Neurospora crassa OR74A: one gene and its partners. The protein of the gene in region 1 interacts with the protein of each later gene in a pairwise test. Links are inferred from orthologs where the notes say so. Each region holds a gene or a part of one and is shown on either strand. Other genes may lie near its edges. The genes, in order: NCU08668, NCU06418 and NCU04439.

Evidence for each region.
Region 2: the proteins of NCU08668 (region 1) and NCU06418 interact in binary tests that used the Saccharomyces cerevisiae proteins (3 or more experiments, as listed by UniProt). The link is inferred for Neurospora crassa OR74A from reciprocal best matches to the Saccharomyces cerevisiae genes ESF2 and DBP8.
Region 3: the proteins of NCU08668 (region 1) and NCU04439 interact in binary tests that used the Saccharomyces cerevisiae proteins (3 or more experiments, as listed by UniProt). The link is inferred for Neurospora crassa OR74A from reciprocal best matches to the Saccharomyces cerevisiae genes ESF2 and HCA4.

Annotation. Positions count from the first base shown.
Region 1 is NC_026504.1:4,159,897-4,163,296, reverse strand, and holds NCU08668 (pre-rRNA-processing protein esf-2), read right to left. Parts: upstream 1,985-3,400; 5' UTR 1,811-1,984; coding exon 1,246-1,810; intron 1,172-1,245; coding exon 714-1,171; 3' UTR 529-713; downstream 1-528. Other genes in the region: NCU08669 (betaine aldehyde dehydrogenase 2), read left to right, coding at 2,518-2,922, 2,982-3,400. UniProt on the Saccharomyces cerevisiae protein: Involved in the small subunit (SSU) processome assembly and function, and in the 18S rRNA synthesis. Required for the early cleavages at sites A0, A1 and A2. Stimulates DBP8 RNA helicase ATPase activity.
Region 2 is NC_026503.1:1,328,364-1,332,566, forward strand, and holds NCU06418 (ATP-dependent RNA helicase dbp-8), read right to left. Parts: upstream 2,820-4,203; 5' UTR 2,386-2,819; coding exon 1,568-2,385; intron 1,495-1,567; coding exon 432-1,494; 3' UTR 255-431; downstream 1-254. UniProt on the Saccharomyces cerevisiae protein: ATP-binding RNA helicase involved in 40S ribosomal subunit biogenesis and is required for the normal formation of 18S rRNAs through pre-rRNA processing at A0, A1 and A2 sites. Required for vegetative growth.
Region 3 is NC_026504.1:3,354,688-3,358,935, reverse strand, and holds NCU04439 (ATP-dependent RNA helicase dbp-4), read right to left. Parts: upstream 2,935-4,248; 5' UTR 2,814-2,934; coding exon 2,667-2,813; intron 2,590-2,666; coding exon 265-2,589; 3' UTR 130-264; downstream 1-129. Other genes in the region: NCU04440 (hypothetical protein), read right to left, coding at 3,585-4,248. UniProt on the Saccharomyces cerevisiae protein: ATP-dependent RNA helicase required for ribosome biogenesis. Involved in the release of U14 snoRNA in pre-ribosomal complexes. Required for pre-rRNA cleavage at site A2.

The DNA of each region.
Region 1 (3,400 bases):
ATTTCCAGGCTCTCATCCTGAGACGAGCCACGCCCAGCACAGCAACTAGGTTTCAAAAGGTATATATGTTCCCACAGGGTACAGCCATCCTCGACCGTTTGAATACATGCATGGAAGAACTTGTGCATCTGATCTTCACTCAAATAACGACAAGAGCGGTCTTGGCGGATATGCCCGATGATATAGTTTGACCAGGACGTATATTGGAGTATGGTGTCCAGGCGACGTTTTGAGAAATGTTCGCAACCTTCCTCATCTACGTCAAGCATACGCTGGATGAGTCCTTGAAGTATGCGAAGGGCGTAAGTCGGGTGAGTCGTTAAATATGATCCCCTTTTGACAGCATTTGCGACAGGACAATTGGTGAAGTTGTATCGAGTGTTGACCGTATCGTCAGGGGCACTCTTCCTCGTGGCTGGGATTTGGAATGTGCTCATGGTGGGCCAATTAAACCAAACGCCGGCCGGTTTCTGTGCAGCGTCGATAAGTAGGGATATGACAAAGTGACGGAAATGGAGATGCTCTCATAGCAAAAGGAAATCAGGTTGGGTATCAAGATGACTGAAGGCAGAAAAATATATACAATTGCCTAAGGGAAAGAAAATCAACACCACCCATCTCTAATGTCTCGGAGTCGCTTTGACGACAGAAATCCCACAGGTACATGAACGCTCCGTGTCTCAAACCTATTGTTCGGGGGCCAAACGAGAAGGTTAAAAGATCTTGCTGAGCACTCTTTGTACTTGCTCGGGCTGTGTCTCATCGAGCTTCCTCTTCTTGGCCAAGGGTATTTGCTTGAATGTTCTCCTCTTATCGTCGTTTGTTGTCGTCGTCGTCGTTGCCGCCGCCGAGGGAATAGTAGATTCTGTGACTTGGGCGGCACCCTCACCGCCCGCTTTGCTGCCCTTGGACGCCTTCTTTGCCTGAATGCCCTGCAGCACCTTGGCCCTCTCCACGTTGCGGACGAACTCCTTGTTTTCTTTGGTTGTCTTGGAGATTTCGGCGCGCATTCTGCTGGATCGCTCGGCGTTCTCAGCAGCGATTTGTTCGGTCAGGTTGTGCCACTTGAAACCCTTGAGGTAGAGCAAGTTCCAGATATCGTCGCGGTAGTAGGATCCCTTCTTGCCTCCGATTGGACGGGCATTGAGGAGTTCGCATGCCTTTTTGGCGTCTGCAAACAAACGGGTTTTCTTGTTAGCGTCTTTGTACTTGGGTCTCAGCGAGTCTCACGGAATGAAGACCTACCCTTCTTCTTGACAAACTCAATCCAGCCTTCTGTAAACATCTTCTTTTTATTGCCTCCGCTGCGAATGCGCTTGCGTCGCGCAACTGGGTCCTCGGGGGCCAGGAAAATGCGATTCAACTTTCCGTACGGCTCCAGCAGGGAGCGCAACTTGGCAGGAGTCATGAAAGGTGGTACCCTGGAGATGTACACCACTCCCGACTTCTTGATGGCCTCCTCCGTGACGATGAGATTCTTCTTTGTGAGAGGCTTCGTCATGCCCGGAAGGTCACTCGCTAGTACCGACTTCTTCTCCTTCTCCTTCTTTCCATCCTTCTTTTCCTTTCCATCTGTTGTTTCCTGGCCGTCCTTTGCAGGTGCATCCTTGCTTTCAGCATCATCTTGGTCGTGTTCCTCCTCTGCGTCGGTAAAGTCGTCGGCTTCGCTGTCCTCGTCATCGCTCACTCTTCTGCGCTTGGCGTTACGGCCACCCTTTTGGAAATCATCCTCCGAGTCAGAACCGTGGCCCGCATCGTCGTCGCTATCGCCAGCATCGAGGAACTTGTTTCTGACATCGTCCTCCGGCATTGTCGATGGATGATTGACTTGTGTTTCTAATTGGTGGACTTTTTGTTGTATGCTGAAAGTTTCGTAGGTTGAATGATTGGGTCGTTATGGGGAGATTTAGGGCAGTCGGGTGTTTGTTTGCGTTGGAGAAGGATCACGACGCGATTCGCAAGTCTTCTTTTGGCGTGGAAGCGCTGGACGGACATGGCTGCTGCTGTTTCTCAAAATTTCTGGCTCCACTGGGGGCCACAGGCAGGAAGGGACCGTGCACGCAGGGCCGATAAGAGATAACAAAGTATGAATGGGAATGGAAGTTCAGGTTGGCTGATCCCGTCCCCGCCTTAGGTTCCTTCCGAGGTGGAGTTCATACACTGCAGACCCGACCCCGCGCTGCCAACAACTCTTTATCTTATCAAAGCTCCCCCGGCCTGCCGCCGAGAAACGGAGCGGGAGCCACTCTGTGTGCGGCAGTGTGATGTCGTGTTCCTGTTTGTTAGTGAGACGGCGACGGGAGGGGCGACATGGTGTCATTGGGTCATGGGAATCAAGTCGGTTTGCTCTTTTCTTCTTGTGGAAGGTATAACGAATTATAGTACTAAGTACTAGAGTAACTGAACTGTGTCTTTTCTTTCCCTTTGACTCGCTCTTCCTCCTTGTGACAACCAACACTGCATCCCACTTCACCATCCTTATCACTCGATACCTGGCCGATAAGCCTACTTGTAACAATGTCGGTCGAGGTGATCACCACCATCTCTCCCACCACGGGGGAACCCATCATCACTCGCAATGGCATTTCAGAGGAGGAACTCGTCCAACTGCCCGAGACTGCCTTCAAGGCCTTCCAAGGATGGCGCACTACCAAGTTGGAGGACAGACAGATCATCGTCAAGAAGGCCTTGAAGTTGCTGGCCGAGAAGCAGGATGAACTTGCAGAGGAACTCACCGTCCAGATGGGCCGCCCCATTGCTTATACTGCCAAGGAGGTTGCCACTGCCATCAAGCGCTCAGAGTATCTGCTCAAGATCAGCAACGATGCTCTGAAGGACACCGATGGCGAGGAGGAGAAGGGATTCAAGAGGTTCATCCGAAAGGTGCCTGTTGGTCCTGTTCTCATCATCTTTGCTTGGAACGTAAGTGGTGTCCATCATGTTGTTTTGACACTCCATCCGTCACCTCTAACTTTGCGCAGTACCCCTATCTTATTCTCGTCAACGCCTTGATTCCCGCTTTATTGTCTGGAAATTCGGTCATTCTCAAGCCCTCGCCTCAGACACCCACAATTGTCGAGCAGGTGGCCAAGGTGTTTTCCGAGGCTGGGTTGCCCGACGGAGTCATCCAGTACTTCCACTCGGGTTCGCCGACAGTGATTGAAACAATTGTGCGAAACCCCAAGATTGCCAACATTTGCTTTACCGGCTCGGTTGCTGGTGGCCTGGCCGTCCAGAAGGCCGCGTCCGATCGCATCGTCAACGTCGGCCTCGAGCTGGGTGGCAAGGATCCTGCATATGTTCGCGGTGATGTCGATATTGCCTGGGCTGCCGAAGAGATTGTCGACGGCGCAGTTTTCAACTCGGGTCAAAGCTGCTGCTCGATTGAGCGAGTGTACGT
Region 2 (4,203 bases), on another chromosome or scaffold:
TATTATGAGATGTATATACACGACGGAGGGCTGGCCTTTGAAATCAATGATGTGTGAGGAAATGGAGTGCGATATGAAGCAATCTCTTTCAAAATGCATACCTCCGCTCGGTGAATCATCCTCCGGATGTCCTCGCATTTGTTCCAACCTGAAAACAAGGATCAATGATGGCCGTGGCTCATCCTTTTGAGGAGTCAAACTCACCGAAGACATAATTTGTAGAAGCCGGGCCATAGTCCCCATGGGCACAAGATATGAAAAATAGCTTGGCATCGCTTTTATCTCTTTCAATCCCTTATTCAATATTTTATCTATCACCCTACCCCAACACATATTTTTGGTATCAGATCATTCACTACCCCCTTTCCCTTCATTACCTCCTCCACTTCGGCTCCCCCTCTCCTCCCTATTCTTATCATCAACAGGACAGCTTACATGGCCCTCAACTTCTCCTTCCCCCTCTTCCTCTTTCCGCCCACCTCCTTCTGCTCCTCAATCTCCAACAAGGCCTCCCTCTTCTTCTCGCCCACCACCTTCAGCGCATCCCTGATCACTCTCGTCTCCAAGTTGACGCCCTCCTCCGTCCATGCCTCCATCTGCCGTCCAACTCTCTGCTCGATCGCCAGCACCAGATCGACATCCCTCTGCCCCACAAACGTCACCGCATCACCCTTGCGGCCCGCACGCGCCGTACGACCAACACGATGAATATAATCGTCCGGATCGCGGGGGATGTCGTAGTTGATCACAATCTTCACCTCGGGGATATCGAGACCTCTGGCCGCCACGTCGGTCGCCACCAGAATGCGCGCAGCCGAGGCGCGGAACCGACCGAGGTTGTCGATTCTCTGGCTCTGCGGCAACTTGGAGTGCAGAGAGGTAACGCGGTGGTCGAGCAAGCGCAACAAGTGGTGCAAAAAGTCGGCCGTGCTGGTGCGGTTGCAGAAGATGATGACGCTCTTGTCCACGTTTTGCGGGGTCAGCAGGAACATGTGCAGGTAGTGCTCGCGGTGGGTGACCGGCACCTGGAGGTGCATCTGGCGCAGGGTGGCGGGGATGGCGAGCCGCTGGGTGTCGACTTCGCACACAAAGACGGGGGCGCGGCCGGGAATGGGCGGGCGCTCGGAAAGGGCCTTGACTTCGGGCGTCATGGTGGCGGTGAAGAGAAGCGTTTGGCGCTCGGAAGGAGGAGGGAGGACGGAGAAGCATTCTTCGACGTCGGGGAGCATGGAGCCGTGGCCACTGTTGGCGAGCAAGCGGTCGGCTTCGTCGAGCACAATGAACTTGACGCGGCGAAGACCGCAGATGGTGTCCTCGCCAGAGGTGCGGATGTGGTCGGCGAGACGGCCGGGGGTGGCAATGACGAGGTGAGGACGCTTGGCGAGGTCAATGGCTTGTTTGCGCATGTCGGCGCCGCCGGTGATGAGGACGGCTTTGAGGACGTGGGGCTGAGAGAGGGCGATGACTTGCTCCATGATTTGGAGGGCGAGTTCGCTGTGGAAGTGGTTAGCCTCTACCTATTGTTTGATTGTTTGTGGGGGTTAAGGGGTACTCGGAGTGGACTTACCGGGTGGGCGTGAGGATGACACCAAAGATGGCGGATGGGTTGGCAGCCCATTGCTGGAGAATGGGAACGGCAAATGCTACCGTCTTACCCGAACCTGTCCTACTGCCACCAATACAGTCCCTGCCCTTGAGAATCTCGGGTATACAACCCTTTTGAATGCCGGTTGGCCGCTTGATGGCCATGTTGGCGAGAGACTGGACCAGCCATGGGCGGACATTGAGTGCGTCAAAGGTGGTGTTGGCGTCGATAGGAACAGAAACTGTGCTGGCAGGCTCTGGTACTGGTAGGGCTGGTGTTGCCTCTTCGGTCTTTTCTGTCTTGGGCGCCTCAGCTTGCTTTTTCTTGATGCGGGATGGGACGTTATTGAAGACAGGCTTGACGGGGGCGACAGGCGTGTCATCCTCTTCCTCGTCTTCAAGTTGAGTAACGATGTCGTCGATGGTAGGTGAGGTACGGCGTCGTTTTCTGGGGGCGTCACTGTCTAGCGAATCGGAATCTGAGTCTGAGCCTGATCCGGCGCTCTGGTTCTCCTCGTCCTCATCTTCATCTGAGACGCCCTCCTCTTCGTCTGAGACGCCCTCCCCTTCGTCTGAGACGCCCTCCTCTAAATCGTGTTCATCCTCGTCCTCATCCTCGTCCTCTTCATCTGAGGCAGCCGACTCATCCTCCACATCTAGTTCAGACCCAAAGTCGGACTCATCCTCAGAGTGACCAGATTGTTCATCAATCTCAGTGACGGCGGGCGCCTTGTTAACCTTGGATTTGAGGTTGGCATTGGCATTGGCCTTTTTGGCCTTTGCGGCTGTGGCAGACGGCATTGTTGGTTTGCTCCTTATTTGCGGGAGTTGGAATCAAAAGGTCTAGACGGATGTTTATGTTTGGTGCGAGATGTCTCTTCGCATTCGTTCCAGGACCGTGATGGGCGCCTCTAGCAGATTCGATGTGTGTTCCTGTGGTGTTGATTATCAGTCGATAAACTGATAACGACTTGCGACCGCTACAAAATTCAAAATTTTTGGTTCAGCAAGGTTCTCGGGAGTGACCGAAAAGGGAAAGCGTGCTTGTAAAAATGTCACATTGAGCGTCATTACGTAAGCGTGGCATTTTGGACTTTATGGGGGTGCCTCGGTGCTTCAGAAACACTTCAACGGTCTAGAGCCTCACCAAGCCGTCCTCCATCTCCTTATGTACATGTCTTTCGCAGAACGATACCATGAGGGTATGAACCGCTGTGTATCGTGATAAAGTGCCCATATCCTTAGAGTTTCATTCTCACTTATATACCCATCGTCCTTCCATTCACGAACTTTTAATATGTACAGATCGCCAAGACCCGACGTCCGCACACGGACCGCAAGCAAGCAAGCCTGGGCCTGCCCCTAGGGTAGCATCACAGCAAGACCCACCAGTGTACCTTGAAACGCAAGCCGAAGCGCCGGCGAACCGCCAACGTCGCATAACAAGCGTCAGCCACCAAACCCATCGGCGCTTAAGTTTTGGACGGGGTTGTTCGTTTCCACATTCCATCTCATGGAATACGAAGAAACCGTTGGTTTGATCTCCATAGTGCGACTTCTGGGCGCTTGGAAGAATGCAAAAAATAGGAGAGCTTCTTCTTGTTTGGGAATGAGCCAAGAAGCATGAGCAGTCTAGGATCAAGGTTCATGTCGGAAAAGCACTGCAATGTCCAGCTTCTGGTGGTGTTATGCTGACTGCACGGTTTCCGAACAAGGTCTACACAAGGAGTATAAGTATCGATAACAGAAGGGAAAGCAGCTTGTTCGGTCGGCTGAAAGACAGCACCTCAAGGATGCAGCTCGTTCGTTGTCTTGATGCTCGGACGAACTACGACAGATGAGATCATGTCCTTCAACGGGCCCCCTTCTTGTGTTATGATTTAGTGCCACAGAAGGACAGTCGTTGACGATGATCCCAAGACTACGGATCCTCATGGCCGCCGCTAAACGGGCCAAGTCTGGAGTGGAACCCGCGGTAGGGCACACGCGAGCTTGCCCCGGCGATGCATGGGCTATCGGCCCTTACCCAACTCGGGCATTTCGATGAACATGATGGGCCATGTTGACGTTGTGGTACTTTACTGGCACAGTGGCCTACCGATTTGGTCCCCAAATGCCCCCATCGAATAAGCAGGCAAATAGGCCAGAACAAGGTATCAACATGATAATATCGAGCAATGAAAGGAGGTAAAAGTGTTTTGTTTACATGGCATGATCATGCTTCGTATGGCTTGATGATATACCTCATATTCATCTCGATTCGCATATGCTGAGGTCCTTCATTGTCATCTATAACTTATCACCTGCTTCAAGTGTAAACAATTGTGTTGATCAAAGCAAGCATGTTTCATCCACCTGGTTGGCTCCCCAAGATGGTGAAGTTAACCTTGAAGGCCTGAGCTGATCATGCTGTAGATTCTCCAGGCTGTCTCTTCTGAAACGCCGCTCACTCACAGTGAACTGCGAGGCACAGTGTCTCTCAACGACGTAGACAATCCTTTCTGTGCCTCTTTGGCCAAGCACACTGAGAGAACAGAGTTTGCAGAACCCGTTGACGATGCCGATGTCCCCCCTGGTGGTGTATTGTGGTTAGAACGACAAGGCGAGACTGGTGGAATC
Region 3 (4,248 bases), about 810 kb from region 1:
GAAATGCTTCGTCCAGCCTTACAGTACCCCGAAATCTCGCCGCAAGCTGCTGGGAAAGGATGGATAGAGACTGGAGCTGGAAATGTATTCTACACGAAGGGAGCATAGTGGCATGGGACCGACCCTTTTGTCAAAATACGTGGTTTAGGTATCATAACAAGTCTAAAACTATCGCAAAATACGTATGTAAACATCCATGATTGGATGACGAACCCCGATATCTCTCCTTTTCCCACACCAACACCAACATTGAAAACCAACTCATCAATCCTCCAACAAGCCAGCGGCCAAAGCCTCCAAATCCTGCAAGTTATCCGGCTCATGATCCATCTCAATGACCTTCCTGCCGCCCTCCATCTTAGCCTTCTTCCTCCTCGGCCTGCCGTCATCGCTATACTCCGTATCCGAGTCATCCTTCTGGAACCACTTCTTAGCCTTCTTCTTAGGCGGTTCCCTATCGTCCTCGCTCTCGTCACCGCTGTCACCGCCCTTGCCAGCAACAGGCAAACTTCTGAGCAAAGCCAAAGGATCCTCCTCCACATCGCTGTGCGCGTCCAGCAGCGCCGGCTGCAGGGGACCCTTCTCCCTCTCGACCTCCTCTCCCCTCTCCCTTGCCTTGGCGCGCTCCCTCTTCTCCTTCCTCCGCTGCTTGGCCAGCAGCTTGTCTTCGACATCCTGCTCCTTGACCTTGGTGGCTTCGCTCTCGACGAACTTCTGCCTGAGCTCCTTGGCGTCGCCCTCCTTCTGGAAGTCCTCCTCGTCTTGCAGCTGGTAGAGCGGGTGGGCGTTTCCTTCGTCGTCAAACACAAGCTTCTGGCCCTTCTCCATGTACTTGAGCAGCTTCTTCTTGGACTTGAGCAGCTTCTCGCGACGGTGCGAGTCGATGACCAACTCGGCGTTCTTGCCCAGCTTGACCACCTTGGCCGTGCCGTCGGGGTTGGTGCCGGACTTGGCATTGCCGGCGGCGTCGTCGAGGGCGGCATCGTCGTCCAGCACGCGCTTGACCGAGAGGAAGTCGTCTTCCTCGTTGTCTTCTGCCTGATCTTCTCCGAGAAGCTTGCGGTAATGCGTCGACAAGACGTCCTGGTTTTGACGCTCGGCCATCTTGTCGTACTTTGTCCTGACCTCCTTCTTCTTCTTGCGGATCTCGCCGTCCGAGCCTTCGGTGTCGGACCCGCTGGACATGGCGGCGCGCGAGGCATTCTTGAGCTTCTTGACGTCCTCGCCCTTCTGGTATCTGATCTGTGGAGTACCTGGGAGACCCAGGCTGGAAGCAAAACCGTCGAGGTCGAGTTTGTCGAACTTGAACACCTCCTTATCCTTTTGCAGGTAAATCGAACGGACGTACGAGACGAAAGCCTTCTGTCCGAGGTATTTGAGATCGGGTGACTGGAAACACTGTGACTGTAGTTCGTTCTTGATGCTCTTCTTCTTGTTTTCTTTGACGTTCACTTTCTGGACGGTCACCTTCTTGTGCTCGAGACGCTTAAGGAAACCCTCTTCTTCGCTGGGGTCGAGGAACAAGACGGCGCGGCCCTTGCTCTCGTAACGCGCCGTTCTGCCGACGCGATGGATGTAGGTGTCGGCATCTTCAGGGCAATCGACCTGGATGACCCAGTCAACGGCGGGGAAATCGACACCTCTGGCCACGACATCGGTGGCGAAGAGGCAGGAGTATTTCGCGGACGTGAACCGGTTCGTGATCTCGAGACGTGCTATTTGTTTTTGGCGACCATGCAAATGTAGTAGTGGAATACCGGGCTGCATCCGCTTAAAACTTTCGTAGACGAATCTGACCTGCTTGCCGGAGGACATAAACACAATAATCTTGCTCTTGAGGTTCGTTCGTAGGAAGCCCCATAGCGTGTCGAGCTTCTCAGGGAGAGGTGTGACGATGTAATGCTGTTGGAGGCCGACGGGGGTCGCCGATGCTGCGGCTTCGTGAACAGAGACGTATTCGGGGTCCTTCAAGCTCAACCGGGCAAGGTCCGAGACACGCTTGCTTTGTGTGGCGCTAAACAGCAGGGTCTGCCTGCTCTTGGGAAGATGCTCAACAAGAGCGTCAACGGCCTGTTGGAAACCCATGTCCATGATGCGGTCGGCCTCATCAAGCACGAGCATCTGGAGGTTGTCGACATCGAAGCCGGCCGTTTGGTCGAGATGCTGCAGCATACGGCCAGGTGTGCAGACGAGGATATTCATGCGCCCAAGACGCTCCGCCTCCTCCTTCAAGCTCTTTCCACCAATGACCAAGCCTGCCGAAAAGCTGTGGTTGCGACCAATCTTCCTGAGAACTTCAAATATTTGGACGGCCAATTCACGGGTCGGGCTGATAATGAGGGCACCGAGACCGTCGTACTCAGTCCATCGTGCACGGTATAGCTTCTCGAGGACGGGAACAAGGAAGGCGAGGGTCTTGCCGCTACCTGTCCTAGCAGCGCCGAGGATATCTTGCCCTTTGAGCGCGAGAGGGATGGCGGCGCGTTGGACATCGGTTAGGACCTCGAAATGGGATGCGCGTAGTCCAGAGGCGGTAGGTTCGCAAAGGGGAAGGTCCGAGAACTTGTTGAGTTCGGTGGATTTGGGGTCCTAGTAGATTGAGACACAATATTTAGAAGCGTGTGCGGTTGTATGGTGAGAAACGGGGGTTCAGTACTAGGACTTACAAGTTCGTCGATTCTCTTCTGAAGCGCCTCGAGGTTCTCCAACTCTCTTTTCCTCTTCAACGTCTTGTGTTCGGCCTTGTTGGCTTTGGACCTCTCCTTCTCGGCTTTGCCCTTGCCACCGCGGCCTTTGGGGCCTCCTGGAGCCATTGTGTTTGTATCGTCTGAACGTGCTGGAAATTGGGCGTGGTGGGTTCGACGAAGTTCCAAAGGTCGGGTCTGCTAGTCGAGCGAATCCAATTGCCTGCGGGTCGTCGCTGGTGGCCTTTCAGTTCGATGCGAATGGGAAAACTTTTGGCGGAGAGCAATTCTGCCAGCTCGACCCACCTCATCCACTGTAAGCGAGGGGATCTGCAGCAGGGGTCTCGGACTCGCGGCCAGCTCAGACCAGGGTTAGGGTCATACGAGCAGACAGACGACCATCGAGTTGTCAGCCCCCAGTGACATTCTCAAGTCGTTGCTATGGTTCATGATGGGTTGGATGGGCAGTTGTACGGGGCTGAAGTAGAAAATTCACAGTAGCTTTTGCATCGAACCAAATTCGAATTGTAGTGGTTTTATCTCAGCGCCCACAACTTCAGCAATCTACATGTTTCACTTAGAACAGCAACATTCGAACATCAACACCGTGCCTGAGCAATGAAAAGAGCCAAACTATCATGAAAGCATAATGTATTGAACCACGAAAAAAATGAGCTTGAAGACGGGTATCGCTCGCTCACATGATTCCTTCGTAGGTAGACACCCGCAATAAAACCAACCCACTAGACCCACCCATATGTACGTTTCCCAAAGTTGAAAGCGATAAAAAAAAAAAAAAGGACCAAAACGCCTTGCCCCATTCCCAATTTCCTTGCTTTTCCCTTCAATACGTATTCGGTAGCTCAAGATCCGTCGCCCAGATACCCATTATCAATCCTGTTATTCCTCGCCCTCGTACTCTAATTCCTCCCCAAACAGTTTCAGGCGGTAAATGCATGTATGATCCAGGGCTCCATGGTTCGTCTTGGCTCTGACGACCACCTTGTACGTCGCCGCATCCAGATCGAGCAACTCCTCCGACAGCTTGTGGACAAACATGCCGTGGCTACCGCTGGTCTTGGCATAGTCGTACTCCAGCTCGCCGATCTTGACGTATTTTCTGTTGATGAGGGACAGCGATTTTTTGTTGTTTGCGTCGACCATCTTCATGTCAGCTTCGCGCTCGCCAGGGTACAACTCGTCCATCCAAGCCAGGAGTCGCTTGTTGTCGTCCGCGTCCGGATAGTATCCCCAAATCTCAATGTCTTTGGGCATGGACCCAGGGTCATTCGTCGCGTTCGGATGGACGTGCTCAACGACGATGGCTTGGGGAATGACATGTTTGGCCATCTCCACGGCGAGCTCGGCCCCCCTGCTGGCTGAGATGCCAGCGCACCAGCACTGGCCAACGTCGTTCCAGGCAGAGAGCGCCAGCATGTATTCTGCTTCCAGGGTGACCTTATCCTTGCTCGAAATGGGCTTCGGCTTGCCGAGCAGTTTGCTGAGGTGCTTGTTGCCTGGCAGTGCTTGCGACTCAAGTCGGTATACGGGGGATGATTCCGAC